Linked DNA regions of Mus musculus. The protein of the gene in region 1 purifies or fractionates together with the protein of each later gene. This does not show direct contact. Links are inferred from orthologs where the notes say so. Each region holds a gene or a part of one and is shown in the gene's direction. Other genes may lie near its edges. The genes, in order: Bcl7c, Dpf2, Smarcd3, Smarcc2, Ss18, Smarca2 and Smarcc1.

Region 1 (3,981 bases):
AGCTGTCTTCAGACACAACAAAAGAGGCCGTCAGATCTCATTATGGGTGATTGTGAGCCACCATGTGGTTGCTGGGATTTGAACTCAGGACCTTTGGAAGAGCAGTCAGTGCTCTTACCCACTAAGCCATCTCGCCAGCCCCTTCCATTCCATTCTTTGTGTTGTTTCCAGGTTGTTGCTACTGTGAAAAGAGTCCCAAACTTTCCAGTATTCATATCTTGGTGTTCATACAGACACCACATTTTGTCCTAGTGAGGTTTCTAGTGATGTAATAAACACCATGACCAAAAGCACCTCGTGGAGGGAAGAATGTAGTTCAGCTTGCAGTGATAGTCCGTTATGAAGTCAGGGAAGGAACTTAAAGCAGGAACCTGGAGGCAGGGACTGAAACAGAGACCTTGGAGGAATACTGCTTGCTGACTTACTCCCCAAAGCTTGTCCAGCCTGCTTTCTTAGAGTGTTCAGAGGTGGCACTGCCCTCAGTGGTGTGGGCTCTGCCACATCAACTACCATCAAGAAAATGGCCCCACAGACTTACCCATAGGGCATCTTGATTGAGGCCCTTTCTCCACCAAGGTTCCCTCATCCCAGCTGACCTAGTTTATGTCAGGCTGACAAAAAACTAGGCAAGCACACATTTCTTCTGTTGAGTGTTGATAGCTTGGGAGTGGAAAGTGTTGGAAAACGGGGTTGGTATAAGTTTTTCACTGGAAGACTATCAGTTTTCCAAAGTATCTCTACCAATTACACAACCTGATTCAAGGAATGCCAAGTTGCTCTGCTACCCCATCTACATGGTCTTTCTCATTCCCGCCATTCTGGCTGAGGAGGCCCGCTCTCCACTCGCAGCGTCTGGCGCGTACTTGGCACTGTTCATGGGACTGTTCAATGAATGAATGAACAAATTAAGTTGGGCAGCGTAGAATCAAACAGCCTGGAGAGGGCAGACGCGCGCACAGAGCATTTCAGGGACGCCCACCCGCCGCGGACGCACACCAGGACAGTCCCTCTCGCGCACCCCTGAGCCCACGTGGCCGGAACGCACCGCCTCGCTCGGGCCGCGCGCGTCCAGCCGCACAGCTGCCCCCCAGCTCTCCCTCTCCGTGGCTGGCAGAGGGCGCTGTGCGTCCGTGCGCCCCGAGGGGCGGGCCCGGGCCGGGGCGGGGCTGGCCGGGCTTCCAGGCCGGGGCTCTAGCAGCCCGCGCCGCCCGGGCCGCTCCGGGGACGGGCCGGGGCGGGGCGCGGTCTTAGGAAGCCAGGCGGGGACGCGCGGAGGCGTTGGGGAGCGAGGGAGGGCGCGGCCAACTCCCGGAGGGACGGCAGGCCGAAAGAGCGGCGCTGGGGCCTGGCGCTCAGCCTGAGATCGCCGGACCACAGGCCGCCCCGCCACGGGCTCTGTCCCGGCCCCAGCCCCGCCAGCATGGCCGGCCGGACCGTGCGGGCCGAGACCCGGAGCCGGGCCAAAGATGACATCAAGAAGGTGATGGCGACCATCGAGAAGGTCCGGAGATGGTGAGCGCTGCCCCCGGGCCAGGGATACAGCCAAGCCACCTCCTCCAAACGCGTCCGCCCTTTCCTGGCCCGCTGCCCCCGCCCACCAGCTGTGCTCTGAATCGACAGGGCGCCCCCTTTCCCCGGCAATTCCCAGAGGTCTACAAAGCGTGGTCCGGAGTGGTGCTTTCCCTGAGCGGGAGCCCTCATCTATGCCCCGCCCCCTGAAGCTTTTGACACTCTAGCAAGCTTGGCCCCGGGTCTTCATTGCCAGAGTCCCTGGCCAGGCCTTGGTGGCGCCCTGCTGAGTGCCCCAGGTGTCTGCAAAACCGCAGCTCCAAGTTATATCCGTTTCTGCTTTGCCCTGGGGTTTGAGGGCTCTTTCTGCTTCTGTGCCAGTGTTAGCGAAGCTGTCCCTACCCTAGCACACCTCCCTGACCTCCAGTCTGTGGGGCTCATCCTTGGGCCTCCCTGATCCAGTCTCCTGACCTCCCACAGGGAGAAGCGCTGGGTGACTGTGGGAGACACTTCCCTTCGAATCTTCAAGTGGGTGCCTGTGGTGGATCCCCAGGAGGAGGTGAGCAAGCCCCAACCCCCAACAGGCCTTGCATCTGTGCAGCCTCAAGCAATTTCCCTCCCAGCCTTGGCCTCCACCTTCAGTCGGCTTGGAGACTCCAGTGTGGAGCCCAGGCAGATGGTAACGATTATTAGGGGGCGCGAGCGCACTTACACACACACACACACACACACACACACACACACACACACTTTCTCCAAGTTCAAGGCCTAACTCAATCTACACAACCTGATGCAGCACCTTTCGCTTCTCTGAGCCTAGGTTTCCTTATTCGTATTGAAGGGCTTTGTAAGAGCTCCCTAGACAACTAGCTCTGATCTTACCTCTCTAACCCCCAGGAGAGGCGGCGGGCAGGAGGCGGGGCAGAGAGATCCCGTGGCCGGGAGAGACGTGGTAGGGGCACCAGTCCCAGAGGGGGAGGCCCCCTCATCCTACTGGATCTCAATGGTATGTAGAGATTCTGGAATGGAGTTGGGTGGGGGGGACTGAAGGAATCCCCTGGGGATCTCTGGCTAATTAACGCGCGGCTTTTGCTTCATCAGATGAGAACAGCAACCAGAGTTTCCATTCTGAAGGTTCATTGCAAAAGGGTGCTGAGCCCAGCCCTGGGGGGACGCCCCAGCCCAGCCGCCCTGGATCACCAACTGGACCCCCAGAAGTGATTACTGAAGATACTCAGCCCCCACAATTGGGTCAGGAGAGAGGTAGGGCCCTGTGGCTCTCAGGAGCCCTCTCATCAAAGTTGAACCCACCATCCTGTCCTTGTTTCTTATATTATGTCCTCTCACCCGGTCCCGCCTCCCTCAGGGAATCTTCCCTGACCCTGGCAGAGATCACCTCCAGCTGTGCCTCAATCCTCCGGCTTCTTAGATCTGTAGGGAGCATATCACCAGCTGACTTTTTTTTTTTTTTTTTGCAGATTTATTTCTTTGCTTGCTTATTGTCTTTTTCTGTTATCATCTCCTGTCAGCCATACCGATCTTGATCATGTGGGATGCGTAATAGATGTTCAGGGAATAAATAATTCCAATAATCATAGGGATTAATAGCAGTAGATTAACAGCTAACAGAACCGCTTGTCTGTGAGTCGTTCCTCTGAGCACTCCGAAGTTCTGTTGTTTGTTTTCGCATTTAATCTTCACTGTCATCTTTTGGGACCAATGATTCTATCATGAGTCCTCTCTGTACACGAGGAGACCAACATCCAGAGAAAGATGCCCAGACTTAAGAGCCAGTGAGCAACACCTTGGGCCTGAGCCTTCTTCAGCTCCTCTGTCTTCAAATAGTCCACCCCTTGTCTGGTCAGTACCACTTCCCAGGCGTGCCTGACTCCTGTGCCTTTGGCTCTGCCTTCTCGTTTCTCCCTTGTACCTGCTCTGGCCTCCACGCCTGTCCCCGGTGGCTGCAGAGCAGCTCTCCTAAAGCACACGTTCGAGACGGCTATTTTCCTGCCTCACATCCTTCTTCGGCTCCCCGCAGCCTCTGGTTCCTTCACTTCACACTGAGGCCTTGACAAACTGTTGCCGCCAAAATTGTTCCCCTGTCAAGAACACCATGACATGGCCCCTGGGCCATACCGAGATTGTTCCAAATACTTTTGCTAATATAAACGGATAGGGCAGGGGAAGCGTCCAGTGGTAGGTGCTTATCTGACATGCCTAAGGCCCTGAGCCCCATCTCTACTACCACAGAAATGTAAGAAATGAATGAGTAAGTGAATGAATGAACTTGCTACCTGGCACTTACTGAGCAGCTCCACCCTTGACCCCCACACACAGCAGCCTCTCGTGGTCTGACTGACACTATTTCCATTCTGCAGATGATTTAGGATCCGTGGTTGCTAAGCATCTATTTCTGTCTGCCTAAGTTCTGCTCTACCTCTGTTGTCTCCTGGCTCACTCCCCACTAACGAG
Region 2 (4,077 bases), on another chromosome or scaffold:
ATCAGGTCCAACATGGACAGAGAGTAGATCGCTTCTAAATCCATTGAAACCGAGGTTTGGTGACTTTGTTAGGAGTTATTTCAAAAGGCCTGGTGGGAACAAAAGCACTCAGTAAGCAGAAGAGAGCCTAGGAAAACAGGGCAGTACAGAATACGAATGAAAATCTGCTTAGAAAGAGTGAAAAGAAATGGGCTGAGATGCAGTGCCAATGGGCTTAAGGGAGTCCTGTTGGTTTCTTCTTCTTCTTGTTTTGTTTTTGTTTTTGCTTTTGTTTTTTTGAGACAGTGCTTCTCTGTGTAGCCCTGGCTGTCCTGGAACTCACTTTGTAGACCAGGCTGGCCTTAAACTCAGAAATCCTCCTGTCTCTGCCTCCCAAGTGCTGGGATTAAAGGTGTGTGCCCCTACCGCCCGGCTGGTTTCTTCTTTAAGGGGAAACATGTTTGTTCATGGATTTGCATAACTCGATACTGAAGGAGAAATAAATAGTATAGAACTAAGAGGGCTAGTCACACCAGTGAAAACTTTCAATGTGGAGAATGGCTTGGTAATAGCAATCAAGGGCTTGTGGGATGACACAGCAGATACGGACTCTGGGCACCACGCCTGACAACCTGACCACCATCCCCCAGGTACAAAGTAGAATGAAAGAACTCACATCCCCAAGCTGCTCTCTCACTCTTACACATATGCTATGGCACATGCACGCACACAAAGACAGACATACAGAGCAAAGGAATGGAGAGAGAGGGAGAGGGGAGAGGGAGAGAGAGGGAGAGGAAGAGGGAGAGAGAGGCAAGCAAGAGAGAAGAGGTGGGTGCCAGTGAAGTTCAAGGACCGGGTTTACTGGCAGGAATTGTCCGAATGAGAGTCAGGCCCAAGAACAGCCCATTTTGGGCACTCACTTTCCATTCTCTAAAATGGGCTGACTGGGAACAGAGGTACCTAAAGGACTGGGACTCTGACCTTTCACTACCTACCCACCAATCTCTCCCTGTGTGTCAACCTCGTGGCTAACGGCCAGCCAGGCAGGACACTGTTTGCAACTTCTAGCCTATCCGCGTGGCCTTTTCACTTACCTTTCTCACTTTCCAACCGAGCCAGATCTCCTAGCTGAGGCGTCACTAAATGGAGGGGAGACGGATCTCTAGAATGAGCTGCAGAGGGCATGTAAGTTTTCCAATCGCGCCTGCGCACTGGGATCCTAGGCTCCTTCAGGACAGGTCGTTCTCGAGCGCTCGCTCTCGTGGGCCTGTGCGTGCGCGCACCCCCTAGCTGCGCCTGCGCAGAGGGTCGAGGACCCTGTGTCCTGAGAAGGCTTAGCGCCTGCGCGTTGTAGGTTTCGGGGCCTCCCGGCCTGAGGGAGAGGAACAGGGAAGATGGCGGCTGTGGTGGAGAATGTAGTGAAGCTGTGAGTGGTCTTTTTTGTTTGTTTGTCTCTTTTTTCTTTTTTAATCTCTCATGTACCAGAAATCTTGTAAAGGACCTGGGAGTAGAGAGGGAGGTGCGGGAAGAGACAAGGTAGAGAGAAGGACATGCCCGGGAAGTCCTTGCTGTGCGACTGCTGGGAGGGAGGGCAACAGGAGACTCGGGAGACGGCGCTGGGCTTCTTTTGGAAACTTGTGGAGGACTGGAGGGGGGCACACCGGAGCCCCCGACGGGTGTCCTCCTCGCGGGCCGAGCCCCGAGCGGAGCTGCGGGCTGCGAAGGAGAGGCTCACGGTCCCTGGCCCCTCTCTGGAGACGCGTCAGTCCCGCCAAGCCGAGGCCGGCGGCACTAGGAGATCGGGGTCCCCTCCCCGCCCACCGCCGTCCCTGGGGCCATAGGCTCCGCCGTCCCTGCGGAGTCCTAAGACTTAAGCAGCCTGGTGACGTTAACCGGGAAATCCGGGGTCCACGAAACTAAAAATGTTCTTGGGAAGAACTGGTCCAAGAGCAGAACTTCGGGGAGTGGGGAACTAGACCGGAGCCAGATGGCCTTCCAGTCCGCAGGAGCCCTGAGGTGGGCGTTCTCTGTCCCCCAGATGCCATTGTGCGGGTCAGATTTCCAGTGGAGCTGAAATAAACGGTTGTTGGGCGACACCGGGAACGGGGACTGGCCTGCTAGTCGCTTCCCCTCAGTTGGAGATGTTTGGATGAGGCTCTTCCTTCCTTCTTGAAGAAGAATCAGAGTTTTGGAACGGGGTGCCCATTGGATTTAAGAATGGCCTTCTCTTCCCTTAATGGCCATGTTAGACGTGATGTAAGGATAGAGAAATTGAAGTGTTTCAGCTGTCCAATCAAAGCTTTTGGATTCTGGATGACAAAGTAAAGGTTTTGGAACCATTCTGGAGGACTTTTCGCAGCTTTATCTGTCTTTGTCGTGGGCTGAGCCCCAATCGTCCCAAGAGGCTTTTAAAAAATTTTTTTTAAGGTTAAGTTGCTTCTTCCCTGCTGCTTGCAGCCCCTTTCTTTGAAAATGCTTTTCCACTTCCATTAAGCTAAGTGCCTTCTCTTGTGGCTTTTTTTTTTTTTTTAATCTCGCTTTTGGCTTCATCCTGCTGCCTATTTCAACCACCCCTCCTCCCAACGCTATTATCTCTGTGATCTGCCCACTCCGGATCCCCGGCTCTCTTCAGGCTGACATTTCCCTCAATTTAGAAATGAGGCTGTTAATTTACCAATTTTATAGTTCTCCTTCTGGACTCAGAAGTTAAGTCTTTATTACCCTGCCTTTCTCTTTGTTGGACCCCCCTTATTCCCCTGGAAGGGGAGTTGTCCTGTGCCCCCTCCCCACCCCCCAGGTTTCCTGTGAAAGGAGGAGTCACAGCTTTTACCCTGAAAATCTTACTGTCTAAAAGAATATGCTTGCCTAGGTTTTCAGAATTAGATGTCAATGGAGTTCTTCATGTTGAAAGATGGTCTGGCAGAAAATGGAGTTGCCAACCCATTGGTGTAGTATTTTAAGTGTTGGGTGCCCATTTAAATAGAGCATTGCTCTTCATGCCTCTTTAACTCACTGGTTCCTGAGTATCAGTGGGGCACTAACTTGCTTCTCCTCAGCTGTAGTGCAGAAGACTGGAAGCTCCTAACATGTTCCCCGGGGAACTTTCCCTTTACAGGGAAGGCTTTGATTCTCACACCATTCTCACTCTGGAAAGATGCCTTTCTGATGCCTTTTTAAAAAAAATAGTATGCTTCTGTCTTCTGTCAGCTGCCATCACTCACTGAGGGAAAGACCACTAGCTCATCTTTTTCATTTTTTGCCGTGTGAGAAGACTTTCTGTCTTAATTTTCTGTTTTTCTCAATTACAACGTCATGGTTGAAATAGTCTTTATAGTGGTCTTATTAGAGTAAATACTAGTGTTAAAATAACCATGGCTGCCAGCTAGTTTTTAAAACTTTCTAGAGTTATATAAGGCTATCCATAGAATAACAGAAGCTTGGAATTTTTTGCTACAGAGTCTTGAATTTGTGTGCACTCTCCTCTTTTGCTCTCTTCACACGCACACATGCACACACTCATGCAGTCTTATCCGGCCATCTTTCCTACTAGAGCACCTGCTTGGCCTTCTAGAATCTTACCTGGCCTGCAGGGGCCCCGACTGGACGTTCCAGTCATCCCTCCAGGCCTCCCTCAGGCTCCGCACTCTGACTTTGCAGTCTTCAGCCCCACAGGGCTGGTCCTTTCTTCCGTTTGACTTCCAGTGTCAGTATCAATTCCCATCAGCAGAAACAAAGGAGCTGCTGCAGTCAGCCTTGTTTATCCAATTTTCCTGTGTGGTAAGGACGTGGCTGCCTCCTAAAGGCGAGCCAGTGTGAGCCTGCTCTCTTCTGTGCTGTGCTCTCCAGCACATTTATCCCTTAATTATAGTTATTCCTGCTCACTGAACCCACTCAGGCTGTACTTGTAGTGTTGCTGTGTGTGCTGTGTTTGCTGGGAACAAACTAAGCTGTGCAGTGGTCTCTTGTGACTGCTCAGTGAAAGTCCCCATCAGAGTCTACATTAGGGCTTGTTGATACAGCTTTAGTAATAGCATTAGACACTGAGACCTTACTCCTTCCTGCTTTTCATGCATTCTTATCCCTATTCTCTTCATC
Region 3 (4,262 bases), on another chromosome or scaffold:
TGACAGCTAGGCATACTAACAGGACCTGCAGGAAACAAAGATACAGGCCAAATAGACTGGGAGAGCATTCCTCTGCTCCTTATCCTGACCCATGAAGACATTCTGAAGGGCCAAAGGTTAGGGTCCCTCGGTGCAATGGGTCTTGAGGGCTCAAATTGTATGTGTTCCCACAAGTTCCCTCAGGCATTGTCCCTCTCTCAGCGGCAGCCCCAGCTAGCCCATAAACCTGACCCTTGATTGTCCTGAAACCCGCGGACTCCTCCTTCAGAAGGTGGGGACAGGCGTGGCTTGTGGAATGGGCGGAGCTTGGGCTCAACCTAGGGATCTCAGGATTTGTCCCCTCCTTTCTGTTCTTCCTCCCCTCCAGGGATGGCCAGTTCTATCCACACTGTCCCATTTAGGGTTTCCTCGTCTTCCTACCCCACACTCCTGCTTTCTCTTCGGTTCTGGGGCGGACTTCACCAATCCCGAGCTCTCTGGGTCTCCGCGCCAAAGCCATCAAGCCCTGCTTGCCTCACCCTTTCCTCCTACCCACCCAAGTACCCACCCTGGATCCGCGCCATTCCTCACAATGTACTCCTCCTGTTCTCATGAGTCCAGTCCATGTCCCCTTTTCGGAAATATTTCCCCTATTGCCCTCACTTTCTCGCACAGAGACAAACAAAGACTCACAAGCCCAGAAATAGACTCCAACAGAGCTGAAAGACACAGGCCGTGTCCTGCCCCGCACGCACGCGCGCAGGCTCGGCGGCTCTTGTGAAGGGAAGCACACAGACTGGGCGTTTGTCAGTGCACGCACATAAACATCCACACCCACAGCCTCTGCGCCGTGCCACAAAAGGGTGCAGACACACGGTGTGCGAGACAAGGGCACACACATCTGCGGGCGCCCGGGAGCCCGCCTAGCCCGGCACACCCACCGCGCTGGCCCTGGGACAGGAGCAAGGCCTGCTTCGGGCTCGGGTTCCCCCCCAGATTCCTTCCAGCAAATGTTTCCCTACTTGGCCTGCCTGGTCCCAGGGGAAAGGGCCTCAGAAATGCTGCAGGAGCCACTTGGGGGAAAAAAGTTGGAACTGTCTGTTCCCTGCCTGGCCATGTCGGCGAATTCCCTAACCGAGAAACTATTTGTGGCGAGGGCAGAGTGGCTGGCGAGCCCCTTGTCACCTCCCGTGGTGTTCCCTCCCCGAGCCGCCACCGATGGGCCCCGGGCGGCCTGGGCGCAGCGCAGCTGCCCATCGCGCAGCCTCCGGGCAGATCGGCTCGTCTCGCCGCTTCTGTGCGCCGCTTGGACCACGCGGAGTGCACAGGAGGGCCGCTCCGTCCCCGGCGCGTCGCAGGCAGACCCCGGGCCGCCGGACTATTTCTGTCTTATCAGTGCAGGAATGCGGCAGCCGCGGCGGCGGCGGCGGCGGGCGGGCGGCGGCGGCGGCGTGGGCCGTGGGCCGTCAGGGCAGCCCTGAAGGGGCCCCCTCCCCACTCCGCTCGAGTAGAAGTGTGAGAGAGCCCAGCAGGACTCAGAGGGGAGAGTTGGAGGAAAAAAAAGGCAGAAAAGGGAAAGAAAGAGGAAGAGAGAGAGAGAGTGAGAGGAGCCGCTGAGCCCACCCCGATGGCCGCGGACGAAGTTGCCGGAGGGGCGCGCAAAGCCACGAAAAGCAAACTTTTTGAGTTTCTGGTCCATGGGGTGGTGAGTGGGGGAAAGTTAGCGGGGGAGGGTGAGCGAGCTGGCTCGGGCTGAATGGAGGGATGATCGGGAGGGGCCGCCGGCGCGCTCCGGCTCTCCCACCCCTTTGGTTGAGGGGCGCACGGTCACGGCCCAACCCTGGGACCTTGCGGGCGCCCTGGCATCCGAACACGTCGCCAAGCGGTCGGCTGGGGATGGGCGCGCGGCGGCCGGGAAGAGAGGCGTCGGCTTGGGTTCTTCTCAGGGGCAAGGGGTGGGATGTGGGCACCGTGCCTCCCCCAAGAGGGGGGTCCCCTCTGTAACTGACATGTCTCACATTCTTTTACTGGTGGGCTCAGGTGTTACCCCTGCCCTGGGGGTGGGGGTGGGGTGGTGACTCGAACACACAGCTAGGGCAGGGCTGCCTGTTGTCCCTGTTCATCCTTTGGGACAGGGTCACTCCGACTAGGTCTGAGCAGCTAGGAGCAGGTGACCTAAGAGCAAAAGCTCTCTGCTGAACAACCTCTGCATCCTAGCAGGAGGGCCTTGAGGACTTGGCCCTGCTGTCAGAGCTGAGAAGGGTCTACTTGTGAGACCTCAAGTTAAGCAGTCAGAAGATCTCCTTGGCAGGCTCAGCCACCAGAAGTTGATGACCTTAACACCTCAAAGGTGTGAAGGAGGGGCAGGAGTTGGGGACATGAGGCCTAGAAACCAAAGGGATAGTACTATACCGTTCTAACACACACACACACACACACTCACACACTCACGAAGACATGTGAGGAGTCTGAGGGTACCCAGGAACCTATTGAGGTGGAGAGCCTGCTGTGAGGAGCTCTAAGCCTGGGCATATGGAGGGAAGAGTCAGTCATATTTACTATGGCCAAATTTGGTTGTGACTCCAGGAAGCACCATTTCAGTGAGAGGCAAGGGCCCCCAGAATCTGACCCTTATGAGGCTGTTACTGATGGCAGGCTCCTGGGGGCCCCTAGAAGCCTTCTTCTCAGGGCCTCATTAGACCCAACAGTATCAGTGGCCTTGATGAATAGGAGAGTGGCTGATAGGGAAGAGGGCTTCTCTGTGGCAGCCTGTTCTCTAGCCATAGGGATCTCTGGGGTATAAATTCCAAGGCAGCCCTATGGGTTAGTGGAGTTACCAATCCTGACCTAGCTGCTTAAGAGTAGTTGCTTTAAAGACTACCATCCAGTGAAGAGGCTCTGCATATGGAATTGAATGTGGTCAACTTGGTAGTTCGGTTCTTGGATGATTAGAGTCCCCTCTATAGTGATGGAGAATGGCTAGGCTTGAGCTTCCACGCTGGTGACATTGGTGCTGTGAGTGACAGAGTCAGGTGGAATGGGGGAGGCAAGTTCAGGGACAGGCCTGTTTGACTATAGAAGAGATGGGCAGAGACAGCTGCTTGGCTCTGGGTGGAGACCTCAGAGGTAAGCAATGTAAGAGGAGAAAGGAAGCCCAGGGTTAGGGTTAGGGCTTCTTAATCCAGGGGGCAAGATGAGAAGGGTGTGTGTGTGCATGGCCTTCTGTAGCCCAGGCTGGCCTCAAATTCACTATATATCAGAGGGTGGTCTTGATTTTCTGCCTTCACCTCAAGATTAGGATTATAAGTATGTGCTATCATGCCAGGCGGTGGTGGCGCACGCCTTTAATCCCAGCACTCGGGAGGCAGAGGCAGGTGGATTTCTGAGTTCAAGGCCAGCCTGGTCTACAGAGTGAGTTCCAGGACAGCCAGGGCTACACAGAGAAACCCTGTCTCAAAAAAAAAAAAAAAAAAAAAAGTATGTGCTATCATGTGCAGTTTATTTGATGCTGGGGATCGAACCCAGAGCACCACATGTATTGCACAAGCCCTTAACCAAGCTACATCCCTAGCCTGAGATGGTAGTGTTTAAATAATAGGGGTTTCATTCCCCTCTCCCTAATACCCTTCCTGGTCTAGGTCCCCAAGCCTCAGCCCCCTTCCTGGGCTTGGACAAGTGAAATCTGAAACACTCCACTTGCATTCACATCTCATCTCTTTTGATTGACTGCCCAGAGCTGGTGGCCAGAGAAAATCAACCTGCCTCATTTCCCTCCAATTTCTACCCTTTCTGGGATATTGTGAGGAATAGGTTGTCTCTGATGTGGGCAGATGGGAGGGGGAAATGGATACTGCTACAGATGCTGCTTCCTTCACATCCCTGCACTGGCAGTCCACTTCTAGTCCCGTTCCCCACTTGCCACTCAAGAAAACCTGGCAGAGTTTGATGACACCAGACCCGCAGGTCCCCTTGCCCAGTCTCTTGTATCATCTTGGGAGAAATAAAATTAAAGAGGCAGGTTAAGTCAGTGGGTGTGGAGACCTGGAGTTAGCTGTACCAGTTATGTTTGAGATTGAGGTGCCAAAAGCAGGGGGCTCCGAAATGGAGATAGGGGCTCAAGTACAAAACACATCAGACCCAGAAGTGGGGTGTGGAAATGGAGAATGAGGGCAGGAGATCAGCCCCTCCCTCACCGCAGCGAAGCAGCGGGGAGCAGGGCCCGCCAGGTGCTGCCTTTGCCAGGAAGAGCAGGGTGACCTTGGTGAGGTCGCTGTTTTCTTTGA
Region 4 (3,500 bases), on another chromosome or scaffold:
TGTCTGTACGCCTGAAACTAGAGATATAGATTGTTATGAACCATGTGGGTGCTGGAAACCAAACCTGGGCCCTGTACAAGAGCAGTAATTGCTTTAAATACTGAGCCATCTCTCTAGCCAATGCTTCTTGGTGTTTTGTTTGTTTGTCTGTTTGTTGTGAGACCAAATCTTAGAGCCAAAGTCATCTAGAACATCTCCCTTTACCTCCTCAGTGCTTGGATTGCTTAGGAGAGCCACCATGCCCAGCGCCCAGTTCCCAGTGTTTGCTCTTTGTTAGTTTTTCAAGATAGGGTTTTTCTATGTAACAGCCCTGGCTGTCCTGGAACTCACAGAGATCCATGTGCCTCTGTTCTCCAAGATCTGGATAAAGATGTGTACCACCGTCAAGACAGGATCTCACTATGTAATTTCAGCCAACCTGGAATTCACCATGTAGACCAGACTGGCTTCAAACTCAGAGATCTGCCCACCTCTGCCTCCTGAGTGCTGGGATTAAAGGCATAGGCCACCACCACCACCTGGCTCTAATTGTCTTTTAAATGTGTGTCTTTTTGTGTGCATGGGCGAGCATGCACAGGGACAAGAGGATAACCTCAAGTTCATCCTTAGGAACGTTGCCCACTTTCTTTAAGATAGGGTCTCTCATTAGCCTGGTACTCCCCAATTAAGCTAGGTAACATGGCCAGAGAGACTTGGAGATCCTCTGTACCTTTGAAACACTGCAGTGGCCAGCACCAACATTGTTTGTTTGTTTAATTTTATGTGTGTGAGTGCCCACATTTATGTATGTATGTGTGTCACATGAATGCCTGGTGTCTGCAGAGGTCAGAAGAGAACACCTACAGATTCTCTTGAACTAGAGTTATAGGTAGTTTTCAGTCATAATGTAGGTGCTGGGAACTGATCCCAGGTTCTCTGCCAGAGCAACAATTATTCTCCCCCCAACCTTTTTAAAATTTTTTTCTTTTCTCTCTTTTTTTTAAATTAGATATTTTCTTTATTTACATTTCAAATATTAGCCCCTTTCCTAGTTTCTCCTCCGAAAATCCCCTGTCCCCTCCCCACTCCCCATGCTCCCCAACCCGCCCACTCCCGCTTCCCTGCCCTGGCATTCCTCTACACTGGGGCATAGAACCTTCACAGACCAAGGGCCTCTCCTCCCATTGATGACCGACTAGGCCATCCTCTGCTACATATGCAGCTAGAGCCATGAGTCTCTCCTTTCTTTGATTGGTGGTTTAGTTCCAGGGAGCTCTGGGGGTACTGGTTAGTTCATATTTATGTTCCTCCTAGCAACAATTGCTCTTAACTGCTGAGCCATCTCTTCAGCTCCGTGCCCAGCATTTTTATATAGGTTCTAGGTTATATATATTTTTTTTTTTTTTTTTTTATTATATGTAAGTACACTGTAGCTGTCTTCAGACACACCAGAAGAGGGCGTCAGATCTTGTTACGGATGGTTGTGAGCCACCATGTGGTTGCTGGGATTTGAACTGCAGACCTTCGGAAGAGCAGTCGGGTGCTCTTACTCACTGAGCCATCTCACCAGCCCCCCCAGTTCAATTTTATGTTCTGTTTTATCATGCATACATACATACATACTTACATACATACTTACATACATAAACACATACTTACATGCATACTTACATACATACATACATACATACTTACATACATACATACATACTTACATACTTACACACATACATACATACTTACATACTTACACACATACATACATACATACATACATACATACACACACACATACTTACATACATACTTAAGACAAGATCTCACATAGATGTACCAGCTTCTCCCCCTGAGTGCTGTGATTAGAGGATTGCTCTCTCACGCCTGACCTTCTTTTTCTTACTCTGTGTGTGTGTGTGTGTGTGTGTGTGTGTGTGTGTGTGTGTGTGTGTGTGTGTATTCAGGATTGGGATCCTATGCTTTCCTTCCAGGTTGGGTCCCAGAGATGTAGCTCCGGTCACCAGGCTTGTGTGGCAAGCACTTTCTGCCAAGTCATCCCTCTGGGTCATGTTCATATGTTTTGATAATTAAATGTAAAACAAAGGCAAGCATGGTATAACACATCTGCACTCTCAACACTTTAGGAATCAAAGATCAGGAAATCAAAGTCATTTTCAGTTTCCTTGGAAGTTTAGAGCCAGCCTAAGCTATGTGAAGTTTAGGGCCAGCCTAAGCTATGTGAAGTTGTATCTTAGAACAAAAGTTAAAACAGTATAGTAGTAGGAAATGTTTCCACAAATGTATATAATACTCTATAAAGGCTATTATGCAGCCTTTAAAGTGACAGAATACAGTTAGTTTATAGGGAAATTTAAGTGAGAAAGGGAAGTTAGCATCTACAGCTAGAGCTCCCCAGAAGGTAGAGACAGGAGCCTAGGACTTCTAAGCTCTTCTGGGAGACATAGTGTGACCTCTCTTTCAGGGAGCAAAACAAAACAAATACAAATGTAATATAGTTGTAATTACATTTGAAGAAGTGGTTGGTTATAGCTTACCCTGATGCACAGGTCTCACTTTAGACTTAAGGGAATCCTGCCTCAGTTTCCCATAGTCACCAATGTTAGATTGTCTTCATACGTTTTGGGAAACTTTTTGTGCTCTGTTTTATTTCTTGGTTGACTGGTTTGCTTTTGGTTTTTGAGATGGTCTCACTCTGCTGTTCATACTGAGTCGGACACAAGACCCTCCTGAGTACTGGGATCCCAGGCTTACATCACCACGCCTGGCTTTCGAGTTTTTGTTCCTGTTTTATTGTTGATAGTTTCATGGGTCCAAGAGCCTGTCTGTGCTCGCCAAGTACTCTACCACTGAGCCACCTCTAGCCCTCCTTTACATTTTTATTATGGTACAAGCTCCTGCTACACTGACCAGGCCGGCCTTAGGCTGCACTTCGCTCCCGGCAGTCCATCTCCGTCTCCATCTCACACTGAATCTTTTCTGGCAGCTACGACACGTGGATCCCAGCGAGTGAAATTGAAGCATCTGTGGAGGACGCTCCCACTCCTGAGAAACCGAGGAAGGTGAGCTCTCCTGGTCCCCTCCACCCCACTCAGGACCAGCCTTCTCTGTCAGAGGAGCTGGGACTCTGTAAGAGTTTCTAGACAGAGCCGTGGCTTCTGATAACTCTGACACGGACTGCCCTGTGTGTGCTTCAGGTCCATGCGAAGTGGATCCTCGACACCGACACATTCAACGAGTGGATGAATGAGGAAGACTACGAAGTCAGTGACGACAAAAGCCCAGTCTCCCGCAGGAAGAAGATCTCAGCCAAGACGCTGACAGACGAGGTGAGCTCTGCTCCTCCCTGTCAGAGCTCTTAGCTTACACCTGAGGCAAGCCTTGCTGGGAACTGGAGGGTAAACTGCTGCTCATCCCACGTCCTGTTGTGCAGGTAAACAGCCCAGATTCAGACAGACGAGACAAGAAGGGGGGCAACTATAAGAAGAGGAAGCGCTCTCCCTCTC
Region 5 (4,300 bases), on another chromosome or scaffold:
GTGAAAGACAAGAAGTTACTTCTCAAGAACAGTTACCATTGTAAGGGAGAGAGAAGGTTCCATCCTTTGATGTTAGAATGGCCAGAGTCTTCATCTTCTATCGTGTGTGTGTGTGTGTGTGTGTGTGTGTGTGTGTGTGTGTACGCGCGTGCGCACGCGCACTATTTCATATGCACAGCGTAGGGGAACCACATGTGGAGGTCAGAATACAATTTGACTGAGTTGGTTCTCTCCTTCCACCATGCTGGTCACACAGACTGTACTCAGGATGTCAAGCTTGGCCACAGCACCTTACCAGATGAGCCATCTTGAAAGCCTAGTCTTCACCCTTTAGGTTTCTTTAAATACAACAGAGAGTTCAGAACTTAAGGCACACGACTAGCCTGTAGTGCTGTCCTTGTTTGCTAACCGTTAAATTTTACTTATATGCATATCTGGTTTTGTTTACTTTTTGTAAATCTTTTCTATAATTAAACAGCATGAAATCTTTGAGAGTTTCCTTTGCAGCTGGTCAGTTCTACCACCCGTATAGGGCACTGACACCCCAGAATCGCAACTGACCCGTGACATTTGAAATAACATTTAAAAATACGTTTATTTTTTACTTTATTAACATTTTGGACACTAATTTTTTGGTCTTGTGAGACAGTGGCCGTCAGTGTAGCTCTAACTGTCCTGAAACTCACTCTGTAGAGCAGGCTGGCCTTGAACTCACAGAGATCTGCTTGCCTCTGCCTCCTGTGTGCTGAGATTAAAGGCGAGCACCCCTGACATCCAGTTAGGCACTAATTTTTGAGCATCAGTGATGTTAAGTAACGATTCACATAAACTTCTCTTTTGTGCGACTAGGAAGTCTATGTTGCAGAATTAATCCACAGCAACGTGTTCCTTTTGAATTTGCAGCTGTTGGCTTTATTCCCTTCATACTGACTTGAAGCCTGGGCCTAATTAAGCACTAAGTATTTAACTGGAGAAGAGGGTGGCTTTTCACAGCTTCCTTCCAGAGGCCCCAAGTCAGATCAAGTAGATCCACAAGTGTGGGCAGGGTCTATCTTTAGGCAAACTCCGAGTCCGGGGTTCTCTCCACTGTTAGGCTAGACTAGACGAGCGTGCACTCCGAGGTGCGCACGTGGAGCGCAGGGAGCCATTTAAACTAGCGAATCCGCGTTCTCTGTGCTGACCCGGTAGACGCTCCGGAGCCCCGACTGTCCTCTTTCCCTCTGGGCGGCCGCCCGGGCGAGCCTCTTCCCCAGAGGGTCGAGGGCACAGTTGGGGCAGTGTGGCGGGCGGGCCCCGCGTTTCCTGTGACAGCGCGGCCCAGCCGCTCCCTCCCGCCGTGGCGGGACCATTTCCTGAGCGTCCGGGCAGAGGCGGCCGGCGCGGCGCTACCATCAGCGCAGGGACGCGGGGGTGCGGCCGGTGAGCGCGTGAGGGCAGCGGGGCGGACCGCGGCGGGACCGGGGGCTCGAGCCGCACCGGCAGCAGTGAGCGTCTTACACTCCTTGCTGGGAGCTGCGGCTCAGCGTTAAGGCCAAGCCGGCCAGCGAGGGACGCGGCCCGGGAGCATCCTCCCCCCACCGCGCGCCCTAAGGTGGAACTGCCCGGAGGCGGGCGTCGGGCCCCCAGCTCCGCGGGCCCTGGAGCGCTCGGGACTCGCTGATCGCGGGCTCGGCGGCAACATGTCTGTGGCGTTCGCAGCCCCGAGGCAGCGGGGCAAGGGCGAAATCACGCCCGCCGCCATCCAGAAGGTGAGCCGGGAGAGGCGCCGGGACGCGGGCCGAGGCGGGGTGGCGTGGGGGCGGGCTGACGCCGGCTTTCCGACGGAGCCCTTTGGCGCCTGCTCTGCCCGCACAAAAGCGCTGGCAACCGCCGCCCGATTTCCCCGCGGGCCGGGTGGCCTCGCGCCGCGGGGCCGTGAAGGAAGCGGCCCCGAGACTCCGGCGTCGCCCCGCCGGGACCCCACGCGCGGAAGCCCGACCCGAGAGTGCTGCGCCGCAAACTCCTCGGAGTTGAGGCCCTCTTCGGAGAACTTGAGAACCTTCCGCAATGTCTCGGGGCAGGCGAGAAAGGAGCCGGGGGGCCTCCGGGGCTCCCCGGGGTCGCTCCCGGGATCGCACCCCGGATCTGTTCCGGTCTGCAGCAGATAGATGCGCCTGAGCGCGCAGGGCGGGCGCTGGGGTTCCGGAGGGCGAGCCTGCTCTCGCTGGCCTAGCGCTGTTGGCCGTCCACAGCGACAGGCGGGCGGTTTGCATGAAGTCACGATCGAAGCGCTGGGAGCTGGGTCCTCAGAGAGTGCCACCCAGTCGCCGCTCCGGGGCTGCCAACTGGAGACACAAAGGTTCTTTATTATCCTCTAAGCCAGTGTCTAAAAGCAAGGCACTATTTAGCTCTCAGCATGGTAGACTTTTGAAAGTCGCCTCCTGTTAAGTTTAGCAGTTTGCCTTGCCCTGAGTATTTCGATCTTGTTCCCTGCCCCGGAGTAAGGTTAAGGGGAGCAAGTCAACCTGTAGTACCAATCGGGGCACCCTTGAAGACCTGTGGGTTACGGCCATCGGTTTCTGTTTACTGTCAGGGTCTTTGTAGTGTGGCATTTGACATTTGCCCAACTGTTGCTTTATTTTTCTTTGAAGAAACCCGCCTGGCAGTGTCTGGAAACGCAGTTGGTTTCTTTAGAGTGCCAGGTTGAGCCAGTAGTCTGGTGAACAGCTTTCTTTAAGCACACACGTGCAGAAAGAATGTTTCTAAGAGGATTCTTTTTGAACTCTAGAAAAAGTCTGGCGCTTTCCTTTTTCTCAGTAGAGTTTTTTTTTCTTTCTTTCTTTCTTTTTTTTTTCTTTCTATTAGTTGCTTATCGTGAGTGATTGATCTAGGTGCTAACTGGTTATATTTCATTCTCAGATGAAAAGTGAAAATGGATTAAAATTCTTTTGTTATTTTATACGTCTGTGTATGTCATGTGCATGCAGTGCTTGGGGAGGTCAGAAGAAACATCAGTTCCCTGAAATGGAGTTAATAGCCTCCTGTGGGGGCTGGAAACCACAGCCAGGTCCTTAGCAAGAGCATTAAGTGCTCTTGTCCTCTGAACCATCTCTCCAGCCCCCCAAAAGCATTACAATTCAAGTTCTGTTTGCAGTGTCAGATGTTGGTTTAGACAGGAGGCAGATGGTTGGGGTTGTTTCATGTGTCGTGGATTCCTTGGTTGAGTATTGAATTGATGGCACTGCCTTCAGGGGCAGGCAGATTTCTGTGAGATTGAGGCCAGCCTGGTCCACAGAGTTAGTTCCAGGGCAGCCGACGCTACACCCTATCTTGATAACAACAACAAAAATAGTAACAACAATAAAAAACAAAAGAATTTTTTTGTATATAGTGATTATATTTAAGAGGCACACTTTAGAAAAGTGTTTGCTCTTAGCAATCGAAGATAATGATAAATGTGCCGGAAATACCAATTCATGGTAATTGGATTTTGTTTTTAATTGAAAATCACGTTAAATGATTTTTGGTTTTGTCATGAAATTTTGAAAGGTGGGGCATGCTTAGGATGCCCCCCTAAATCTTAAGCTCCTACAAACTTGGATAGTGTGCTAGGGACTCCATGTAGGTTTTCTTCTGTAGTGCCATTGGCATAGATGAATTACTTAATCCTCAAAACCAAGGTTGCTTAGATTGTTATAAGATGCTAAAATGATAATCTTATGGTTTTTGGACTTTCTGAGATATCTCAGTTTATTTTACAAACTTCTATTAATAATTACATGCATAGAGATGATTGCTATGTGTCCTTTTGGAGAATCATGAATCTGCACAGTTAGAAAAGAAGCTGAGCCATTACCTCAGGGCCCTTGGGCAGCACTGCTCCTGTGTTTGTTTCCTTCTGGAGAAGAGATTTCCTCCTTCACACTAGAGCATGAGAATGCTCCAGTAGCAACTGCGAGTCCACTTTCAACTAGCAGAAACTACTGTTACAGATTGGAGAGGTAATGAAATGTTTCTGTATTTAAAACAAGACACCCCAAAACAATGGCCTAGAAGATGGTTCAGCTGGGTTCAGGGAGAGAGCCAGTGCTACAGAATTGCCCTCTGACCTCACACCACAGCACTGAGTGTGTGTGTGTGTGTGTGTGTGTGTGTGTGTGTGTGTGAGTGAGATGATTAATACACACTGATGATAAATAAGTCAAAAGAAACACCCTTTTTCCATTCTGAGTTTCAAAGAGAATAATTGAGATAGGTATTAAACAGAATTGATTAAATGTGATATCATTCCACATACACAAAGTAAGATTTTTTTTCTTTT
Region 6 (4,297 bases), on another chromosome or scaffold:
GTCAATTCTGTAAAAGTATAAACCATCTTAAAATAGGATTTTACCCCAGGGTGGGAGGGATCCTCAACCAAATAGTCACAGTGCACTTTGAATGACTAATTTACGCCATTACATTGCAAAATAAGGAATAGATCATACTTTTTCATAACATGACCACATAGGAGCAGTTTTAATTTTAAGAGTCAAGCACCTACATTAATCTGAGTCTAATATAATAGGCCTCTGATTTAAAATCTCCTAACATTCTTTCACACTTCATAAAACTAAAAATAAAACCGCCTCACCAAATAGTGACCTAGGGTCCGGCAGACATACTGTATTTCAAGGAAAACTGAAACACTAGCTCTCCAAACCACTACGTGCAGGCAAATTGCAGTTTGTAGCCTTAATTGGTCTTAAATGTGGGGTGGAAGAGAGAGGAGACTTCGGTCTGTAGAGATTGAGATTTATTTCCCTTTTTAAATCAAAAGCAGATCCCATGGTTCAGCTGCCCCCTGACTCTCCCGCCCTACCCTCGCGGGTCGTTCTCTCCTCCCACATTTTTATGTATATTTTATTCGAAGACGACAGGTGAGGGGAGGTGAAAGTGCTTCGTGCCTTTCCGAAGTAAACAGAGGGGTTAGGAGGGTTTATCTGGGTTTATTTATTTACTAGGCGGCCGGCCTCTCAGCTGTTTCTCTTCTCTGGCATTTGGAAGCTTGCAGTCCTTTAGGGATGAGACAGATTTGGCAAGCTCGCTCTTTGTGCCGCCTCCCTTTTCACTGGGGGCTGGGGATGGGTGGGAAGAACGCAAATTTATGACAGCCTTGAGAGAAACGGGGAGGAGGCGGGGGTCGAAAAAGTTTCAGCTCGTATGATAATGCCCATTCCCTCCCACCCCCGCGGCCAACACTGCCACAAACAGCTTTGGTGCCACCCGGAGCCCTGCCCCCGCCGTCCCCTCCCTTTCTCTCTGCAGGCTCGAGCTGGCAGGCGCAGGCACACTTAAATTCCAGCACGGTCTCCACATTCCCCAGAACTACTACGCTCGATTACTACGGCTGCCCTCCCCTTCGCTTCGGGGGGTTCCCCCAGTCTCCTCGGAGAAGCTCGGAAGGCTACTGCCAGCTAAAGGATGTGCGGCTCCCGAGTCCAGCAGGGCTGCGGGCTGGTTGCTTGTCCTGCGCAGTTTCTCTGCTCCAGGCACAAACACGGCGGAGAGCCGGCGCCTCGCAGACACACACAGATCCACGCATACAGTAGAGCTGTCTAGATCCACATTCTTGCACACCGCCCCCTGCTCCCCCCGCGCGCTCCCGGAGTCGCTGAGCAGGGCGAGTGACAGGAGCGTCCCACCAACCCGCGCCGGGCCGGGCAGGGAGGAGCGGCTCGCGGGGCCAACTGCGGCGCGTCTTCCGGCGCCCGTGGAGGCGGCGAGGGTGGGACGCGGGGCGGAGCCCGAGTTTAGGAAGAGGAGGGGACGGCTGTCATCAATGAAGTCATATTCATAATCTAGTCCTCGCTCCCTCTGTTTCTGTACTCTGGGTGACTCAGAGAGGGAAGATTCAGCCAGCACACTGCTCGCGAGCAAGGTAAATATAACTTACAACTCCTTTCTCTTCTCTCCACGGCTCCGGCCTTACAGCAGCCGCAGCGGCCGCCGAACCCCTTGGGCACCGCGCCGCCTTCGCCCCGGATTATGCATCCTTATCCTAATCATTATTTATTGTGCATGCTGGAAGACCAAAACAAACAGGCGGGCCAACCGCTACAACAACAAAAAAGCCCGCCTCTTCCCCGCGGGCCTCAGGTGGAATGCTCTAACCACAGCTCCCGGGTGGCGATAAAAGAAACAAAGTTTCAACCGAACCTCGCCGTTCTAATAATAACAGTAATAATTACTACTTCGAGGGGGCAAGGAGAAGAAATCCCAACATGTCACAGCCTTGACCCTGGGCAGGTTGACAGTGATGCGCTGCCAACTCAGGGTTGCAACACACTCTCCGCCAGGTTGCATCCCCCCCCCCCTCCTATCCCCTAAAAAGCAGAGGTGGGGAGGGCTAGTGGCAAGAGGAGAGGGGGATTTGGGAACTCCGGGCCGGGGGGCGGAGGGGTTGGGAGGCGGGGGACTGGAAACGCGACAGTTCACCCCGAGCCATCCTCCCCGTTAGAGTTGGAAGGGAACAGGAAAGGAGGGAAGGAGGGTGAGGAGCCCGGGCTGGCGGCAGGGCGCCAACCAACACGGCTGCTATTCGCCTCCCGGGGACTTGTTTAAAGGGCTCCGGCTGCGGGGACGAGAGCAGATCTTGGCGGTAGTAGTCTGGGATGGCGCACTGAGCGGGCGGCGGCCACTACCACAGGGTTGGTGCCTTGGGGCTCCGAGGTGTCACCTCCACTCCCGGGGTTCCCTAGGGCAGGGAAGGGAATGTTGATTGGTGACAGGCCTTTAGGTGAAAGGGTTGGCCCCGGGGGCTATGGCCGTGGCGCCGCGGACCCTCTTGTCTGGTACCTAGAGGCAGCGCGGGCTAGGATGTTGAAGTTCGGGGTGTCCAGCCCGGGTCTCATTACAGAGGGTGGAAGGAAGCCCCAAGGAAAGAGGTCCGAGGTGTCCACTAGGCTCTGTTAGCCTCCCCTCCCCTCTCTGGGTTTGTTTTCTTTTGCTTGGTGTCTTTCCTTGGCAAGCGCCGAGGAAGCTGCAGACGCGGGGCGCCTGGGATGGTCTGAGTGTCAGGGGCGCACAGGGACCCGGGAGAGCCACGGCGGCTGAGGGCTGGGGAGGCCATGATCCGGATAATCCTCTCTGCCTGACTGTCACAACAGGACCCGCACGCACCCGGGCAGCGGCCGCGGCGTTCGCCCGGGAAGGGGAAGGGCTGCAGTGGGGAGGAAACAGGGGGTGGCGAAGGAGGGAGGCGGGGAGAGCCGGTGGGAGCCTCCTCCTAGCGATGACACTCACCCCTTCCTTCTTGCTCCCTGCTTTCGAGTTTGCTTTATTCCCATCCCAACATAGTTCACCCCTTCCCTTGCCTCCTCCTCCTCCCCCATCGCTGGGCTGCCTCCCCTCCCATTGGCGTTGCAAAACAGGGCCACGCCATCTGCATAGGTGTCGCGATGTACTTCCCCAAATCACCGGTCCAGCGCGCCAGCCCCTGGGCGCCCTCCAGCCACCAAGCGCACACCAGCACAGTGCCCCCCGGTGCCCCGCACCAGGCCGCGCAGCCTGGACGCAGTGACACCGCTCCGGGCGGGGCGCAGCGCTGAGGACTCTAGGGGACACCCGCGCTCCGGCCCGGGCGCTCACGCTGGTTTCCGGTACCTGCAGGAGATCGCCGGGTGCGGGTGTCTGCATTCACCCCTGCGGCCTGGATTACATTATTATTTTTTTATACCGGTTGCTATTCGCTGCGGATAGTGGTGAGCGCCGGGCTGGTAGGGCTGCCTGGGGGATGGGGGCGGAGGGAAGTTGGACACCAATCAACCCGGAAAAAAAAAGTTTGGCAGTGCTGCAAGTCGGATGGAGGGGCTGGAGGGGGCGGCGGGCTGGCGTGAGTGTGCAGTGCGCTAGGGACCAGTGAGTGGCGAGCTGCGCGGGCTGCGTCTCTAGCCGGAGCACTCCCGGGAGCCGGACGCAGAGCCGGCTGGGTCTGGCGGCGGGAGGCGGTGGCGGTGCGTGCGGCGGCGAGGGCGAGTGCGTGGCGCGCGCGAGCGGCGGAGAATCAGGAAGTCACCGCGGCGAAGCGCACAGACGTGTTTGATCGCCGTGACATGACGCGCGCGAGGGAGGAAGAGGAGGTGGCGGGGGCCGGGCCGCGGGCGCCGGCCTAAGCCGCGCTGTGCACACCGCTCCCTCGCAGCCCCGGGCGGCGCCAGCTCGAGAGCCCTGGCCGTTCAGCGTCGCCCAGGTAAGGAGCCGGCTCCTCCCGCTGTCGCCGCCGCCGCCCGCTGAGCTTTCTAGGTCTTTCTCTGCCGACCCCCCTCCCATCTTTGGCTCGCCTTCCGTGCAAAGTCAGGCAGGCAATCGATTGCAGGGAAAACTTTCCAGCGGGAGGCACTGCGCGGGGGAGATGGAGGCCTCGCGGGTGGCTGGCGTGGTCAGTTCTTTCTGCTCCAGGTCCGGAGAGAGTGAGTCGCTGTGCCCTGCGGCTGTTGCACGTTCAAACTTCGGGCCTAAATGTGCTTCCAACTCTCGCAGGATTTACTCCACGAAGAAAATAAACACCCCAAGCGGTCCACTCTCTCGCGGGGGCCCTTGGGGGTGTTTAAAGCGAAGGAGGATGGTGTAGGAGGGGAGAGAGCGAGGGCGTAGTGCAGAATCATT
Region 7 (3,500 bases), on another chromosome or scaffold:
GATAAAGGGAGGTCGTGGTTACTCTTCTATACTTTGCCTGTTGGGTGGTCTCTCTTTTTTTTTTTTTTTTTTTGGTTTTTCCTGAGACAGGGTTTCTCTGTGTAGCCCTGGCTGTCCTGGCACTCACTCTGTAGACCAGGCTGGCCTCAAACTCAGAAATCCGCCTGCCTCTGCCTCCCGAGTGCTGGGATTAAAGGCGTTGCTACCACACCTGGCTGGGTGTTGTTCTCTTACCTCTTGGCTAAGTCTATGGATTCAGCAGACCTTACTTGAGAGTTGGTGTGAAACTGAACATGATAAATGATCCTATACAGTTTTTGTGTTCTATCATTACCTCATGATGGCTCTGTCTTTGTGACGATGAAGCTCATAGGCTCAGAAGAGTCCTCTTTCTAAGGCTCTGTCACAGCCATGCTTGATAGAAGAGTCAGCATGAAGATGGGTAAGGACTTTGTTACTCTAAAGCTGGTTTCCCTTTATCATGTGACCAGAAATGTTCCTCTCCTAGCTAGAGTTCTGTACTTTTGAGTCCAAACGTGAGCTTTCTACTTACATCTGTAACTGTTTGCATACTACAACAGCAAGTTGAATGCATGTAATGTCACTCAGTAGCAGAATCTAAGTACTTGCTGAGTCTTCAAAGACAAATATATCGGTGTGTAAGTAAATCAGACATTATTTGTTCTGTCTCCCATCATTAATGTAAGGACACTGAGAAGAGATGGAATTGTCTGTCATTTATCTTATTCTCCTACCTCAGCCCAACCCCATGTGTGGTTTTACCAGGCCAGTGCTTCATGGACTCCCTCAGGGATCCTCCAGGTCAGAGAAAGGCAGACCTTTGAAAGTCCTTTCTGATGTCTGGCCTGTGCCAGGCATTGGATGTGATGTGATATGTGATAAGCCACTGCTCATTTAGAGTAACCATAGTGAATCTGTTCTTTGCCTGATGCTTTCTCAGAACTGCTCCCATTTGTGCTTGTTTAACCAGCTTGCTTGCTTGCTTTTTGAGATGGACTCATGTATTTTAGATTGGTGTCAGACCCATTCTGTCTAGCCAGTGGTGACTTTGAAATCTTACTTCTACCTCCCAGATTCTAGGGTTCCAAGTATCCTAGGGTTCTAAGTATCCTAGGGTTCTAAGTATCCTAGGGTTCTAAGTATCCTAGGGTTCTAACCACAGCACTATTTGTGTGGTACTGGGGACTGATCTCACAACCTCTTGCCTTGAGGAAATATCTTTTACTTTTTTTTAAAGATTTATTTATTTATTTATTTATTATATGTGAGTACACTGTTGATATCTTCAGACACACCAGAAGAGGGCATCAGATCCCATTACAGATGGCTGTGAGACACCCTGTGGATGCTGGGAATTGAACTCAGGACCTCTAGAAGAGCAGTCAGCGCTCTTAACCGCTGAGCCATCTCTCCAGCCCAAGGGAAGCATTCTTACCAGTCGTAATTCATGATCTAGTTGAGCCATGGCCTCAGCCCTGTAATTCATTCTCAATAGTAACTACCTTTCCTATACTAAAGTTGAGAAGTCAGTCAGTGATCTTTCCTCAGTTAAGTGTTTCTTCTACAAAAAAATGAATAAAAGGCTGATCATCAGCCAGTGAGAAGGTGAGGGTGCTTGCCTCAAGTCTGGCTGTCCAAGTTCAGTCCTCAAAGCTCACACACTACCAGTTTTCCTCTAGCCTCCATACTTGTACCATGGTGTGTTTGTGCCCATACATCCACATGCTAAATAAGTCTTTATTTGTCTATGTTCTACAGTCTTGGACATTGAGTTGGTGCCTACCCACCCCCAGTGCATGAATACTTACAGTGCTTTAAATCTCTTTCCACAGGTCAAATACCAGGCCCTGGCTCCATGATGCCTGGCCAGCCCATGCCAGGTCGCATGATCCCCGCTGTGGCAGCCAACATTCACCCTACTGGGAGTGGCCCTACCCCTCCTGGTATGCCTCCAATGCCCGGAAACATCTTAGGACCCCGGGTACCCCTCACAGCACCAAACGGCATGTGTAAGTAGCACAGTGGGACGACATTACCCAGCATCCTGCTTTGGAAGCTACAGATAAGGAAGAAATGCTTTCTTCGTGAGATTAGCAAGCCCATAGACAGTCTAGCCTGCAACAGTGAGGTGTGGGAGATAACGTTTTGGTGTGAACACTCAGGTTGTGTACTCAGTACTGAGATCTGTGGGGAAGCCACTGATTCTGTCACTCATGATTAAACCTGACTAGTTTGAATCTCATCTGACATGCATAGTTCCTGGCTGTTCTTTCCCCTACAAGAACTTTTATGCTGTGGAATTAAAGGTGGTAAGTAGGGAAAAAGTGAAGTTCAACCAGACCTAGTCCAATTAAAGGGTACACTCCTTTAACCCCAGTGCTCAGGAGCAGAGGCGCTTGCCAGGCCGTCCTAGTGTACATATGGAGCTCCAGGTCAGCCGAGGCTACATAGTAAGAATCTTTAGGAGGGGGAGGGGGAGAGGAAAGAGAAAGAGAAAAGAAAGAAAAAATTGGTATAAAGACGGGAGTCAGCTCTTGTAGCTGTTCTTGATACTTAGGTAGTTCCTGCATTGACTTGAAATGAGGTGGTTTAGGAACTGCAGAGGAAGAATACCAGGTAAAGAGGTGCTGGCCACGGTCAGTAGCATCCCTCTGAGCTTGTGTTCGGAGCTCAGGTCATTTCCCCCTAAGCCTTACCTCTACCCCTACCCCAGCCCGAGCCCTGACCTCCACAGAGTTACATGAGAGGCTGTGATCTCCAGCTGGGTAGACATGCTCAGTGAGAAGGATCCAGCCATAAGCTGATTTCTTAAGAAGATCCTGTATGTGGCCAGAAATTAGCTCCTAGTCACAAAACAATAAATAACCAGAATCCTCTGCCTGCTGGGCTGAGATGACTCACAGCACTCAGGAGGCAGAGGCAGGCAGATCTCTGAGTTTGAGGCCAGCCAGTGCTACACAGAGAATCTCTGTCTCAGAAGAGAAAAAGAAAAAAGAAGAAAAAAAAACATAATCCTTGACTGCCTTCATGAGCTTTAATTAGGAGAATGGGTGAATGAAAAACCGTTGATAGGACTGTTCATCTCTTATTGATGAAATGTAACCAATAGCCTTAAGCACGGCTACTATGACTTCCTGCTATAATGGACTGAGTTCTAGAACAATGATCCAAAATACACTCACAAGTTGTCTTTTAACTTTAACACACGCTCTCGCACCAGCAAGCCATGTGCGTTTGCGCGCGCGCATGCGCGCGCACGCACACACACACACACACACACACACACACACACACACACACACACAAGCAACAGCTACAACAGGGAACTTCAAAATCCTTGGAATGCACTGTAATAGTCCAGGAGACTTCTTGCAGGGAAGGTGGCTTCATGCAGAGACGCATCTGAATCCCAGAGGCTGAGACAAAGTCCATACACAGAAGAATGTCTTACATTAACTGAATTTATAGAATCTGGCCCA

Evidence for each region.
Region 2: the proteins of Bcl7c (region 1) and Dpf2 purify together in Homo sapiens (affinity purification with mass spectrometry; 4 studies listed by BioGRID and IntAct, counting the BioPlex papers as one, with this or other methods). This does not show direct contact. The link is inferred for Mus musculus from reciprocal best matches to the Homo sapiens genes BCL7C and DPF2.
Region 3: the proteins of Bcl7c (region 1) and Smarcd3 purify together in Homo sapiens (affinity purification with mass spectrometry; 3 studies listed by BioGRID and IntAct, counting the BioPlex papers as one, with this or other methods). This does not show direct contact. The link is inferred for Mus musculus from reciprocal best matches to the Homo sapiens genes BCL7C and SMARCD3.
Region 4: the proteins of Bcl7c (region 1) and Smarcc2 purify together in Homo sapiens (affinity purification with mass spectrometry; 4 studies listed by BioGRID and IntAct, counting the BioPlex papers as one, with this or other methods). This does not show direct contact. The link is inferred for Mus musculus from reciprocal best matches to the Homo sapiens genes BCL7C and SMARCC2.
Region 5: the proteins of Bcl7c (region 1) and Ss18 purify together in Homo sapiens (affinity purification with mass spectrometry; 3 studies listed by BioGRID and IntAct, counting the BioPlex papers as one, with this or other methods). This does not show direct contact. The link is inferred for Mus musculus from reciprocal best matches to the Homo sapiens genes BCL7C and SS18.
Region 6: the proteins of Bcl7c (region 1) and Smarca2 purify together in Homo sapiens (affinity purification with mass spectrometry; 4 studies listed by BioGRID and IntAct, counting the BioPlex papers as one, with this or other methods). This does not show direct contact. The link is inferred for Mus musculus from reciprocal best matches to the Homo sapiens genes BCL7C and SMARCA2.
Region 7: the proteins of Bcl7c (region 1) and Smarcc1 purify together in Homo sapiens (affinity purification with mass spectrometry; 4 studies listed by BioGRID and IntAct, counting the BioPlex papers as one, with this or other methods). This does not show direct contact. The link is inferred for Mus musculus from reciprocal best matches to the Homo sapiens genes BCL7C and SMARCC1.

Annotation. Positions count from the first base shown.
Region 1 is NC_000073.6:127,705,967-127,709,947, reverse strand, and holds the start of Bcl7c (B-cell CLL/lymphoma 7 protein family member C), read left to right. Parts: upstream 1-1,181; 5' UTR 1,182-1,420; coding exon 1,421-1,512; intron 1,513-1,989; coding exon 1,990-2,068; intron 2,069-2,406; coding exon 2,407-2,515; intron 2,516-2,610; coding exon 2,611-2,772; intron 2,773-3,981. UniProt on the Homo sapiens protein: May play an anti-apoptotic role.
Region 2 is NC_000085.6:5,910,072-5,914,148, reverse strand, and holds the start of Dpf2 (zinc finger protein ubi-d4), read left to right. Parts: upstream 1-1,277; 5' UTR 1,278-1,376; coding exon 1,377-1,408; intron 1,409-4,077. UniProt on the Homo sapiens protein: Plays an active role in transcriptional regulation by binding modified histones H3 and H4. Is a negative regulator of myeloid differentiation of hematopoietic progenitor cells. Might also have a role in the development and maturation of lymphoid cells.
Region 3 is NC_000071.6:24,599,203-24,603,464, reverse strand, and holds the start of Smarcd3 (SWI/SNF-related matrix-associated actin-dependent regulator of chromatin subfamily D member 3), read left to right. Parts: upstream 1-1,462; 5' UTR 1,463-1,606; coding exon 1,607-1,684; intron 1,685-1,700; exon of another isoform or gene 1,701-2,329; intron 2,330-4,262. UniProt on the Homo sapiens protein: Involved in transcriptional activation and repression of select genes by chromatin remodeling (alteration of DNA-nucleosome topology).
Region 4 is NC_000076.6:128,465,815-128,469,314, forward strand, and holds part of Smarcc2 (SWI/SNF complex subunit SMARCC2), read left to right. Parts: intron 1-2,980; coding exon 2,981-3,056; intron 3,057-3,191; coding exon 3,192-3,323; intron 3,324-3,427; coding exon 3,428-3,500. UniProt on the Homo sapiens protein: Involved in transcriptional activation and repression of select genes by chromatin remodeling (alteration of DNA-nucleosome topology).
Region 5 is NC_000084.6:14,680,115-14,684,414, reverse strand, and holds the start of Ss18 (protein SSXT), read left to right. Parts: upstream 1-1,500; 5' UTR 1,501-1,679; coding exon 1,680-1,748; intron 1,749-4,300. UniProt on the Homo sapiens protein: Appears to function synergistically with RBM14 as a transcriptional coactivator. Isoform 1 and isoform 2 function in nuclear receptor coactivation. Isoform 1 and isoform 2 function in general transcriptional coactivation.
Region 6 is NC_000085.6:26,603,663-26,607,959, forward strand, and holds the start of Smarca2 (probable global transcription activator SNF2L2), read left to right. Parts: upstream 1-1,497; 5' UTR 1,498-1,571; intron 1,572-1,586; exon of another isoform or gene 1,587-2,387; intron 2,388-2,488; exon of another isoform or gene 2,489-2,848; intron 2,849-2,911; exon of another isoform or gene 2,912-3,393; intron 3,394-3,479; exon of another isoform or gene 3,480-3,881; intron 3,882-4,297. UniProt on the Homo sapiens protein: ATPase involved in transcriptional activation and repression of select genes by chromatin remodeling (alteration of DNA-nucleosome topology).
Region 7 is NC_000075.6:110,233,024-110,236,523, forward strand, and holds part of Smarcc1 (SWI/SNF complex subunit SMARCC1), read left to right. Parts: intron 1-1,853; coding exon 1,854-2,030; intron 2,031-3,500. UniProt on the Homo sapiens protein: Involved in transcriptional activation and repression of select genes by chromatin remodeling (alteration of DNA-nucleosome topology).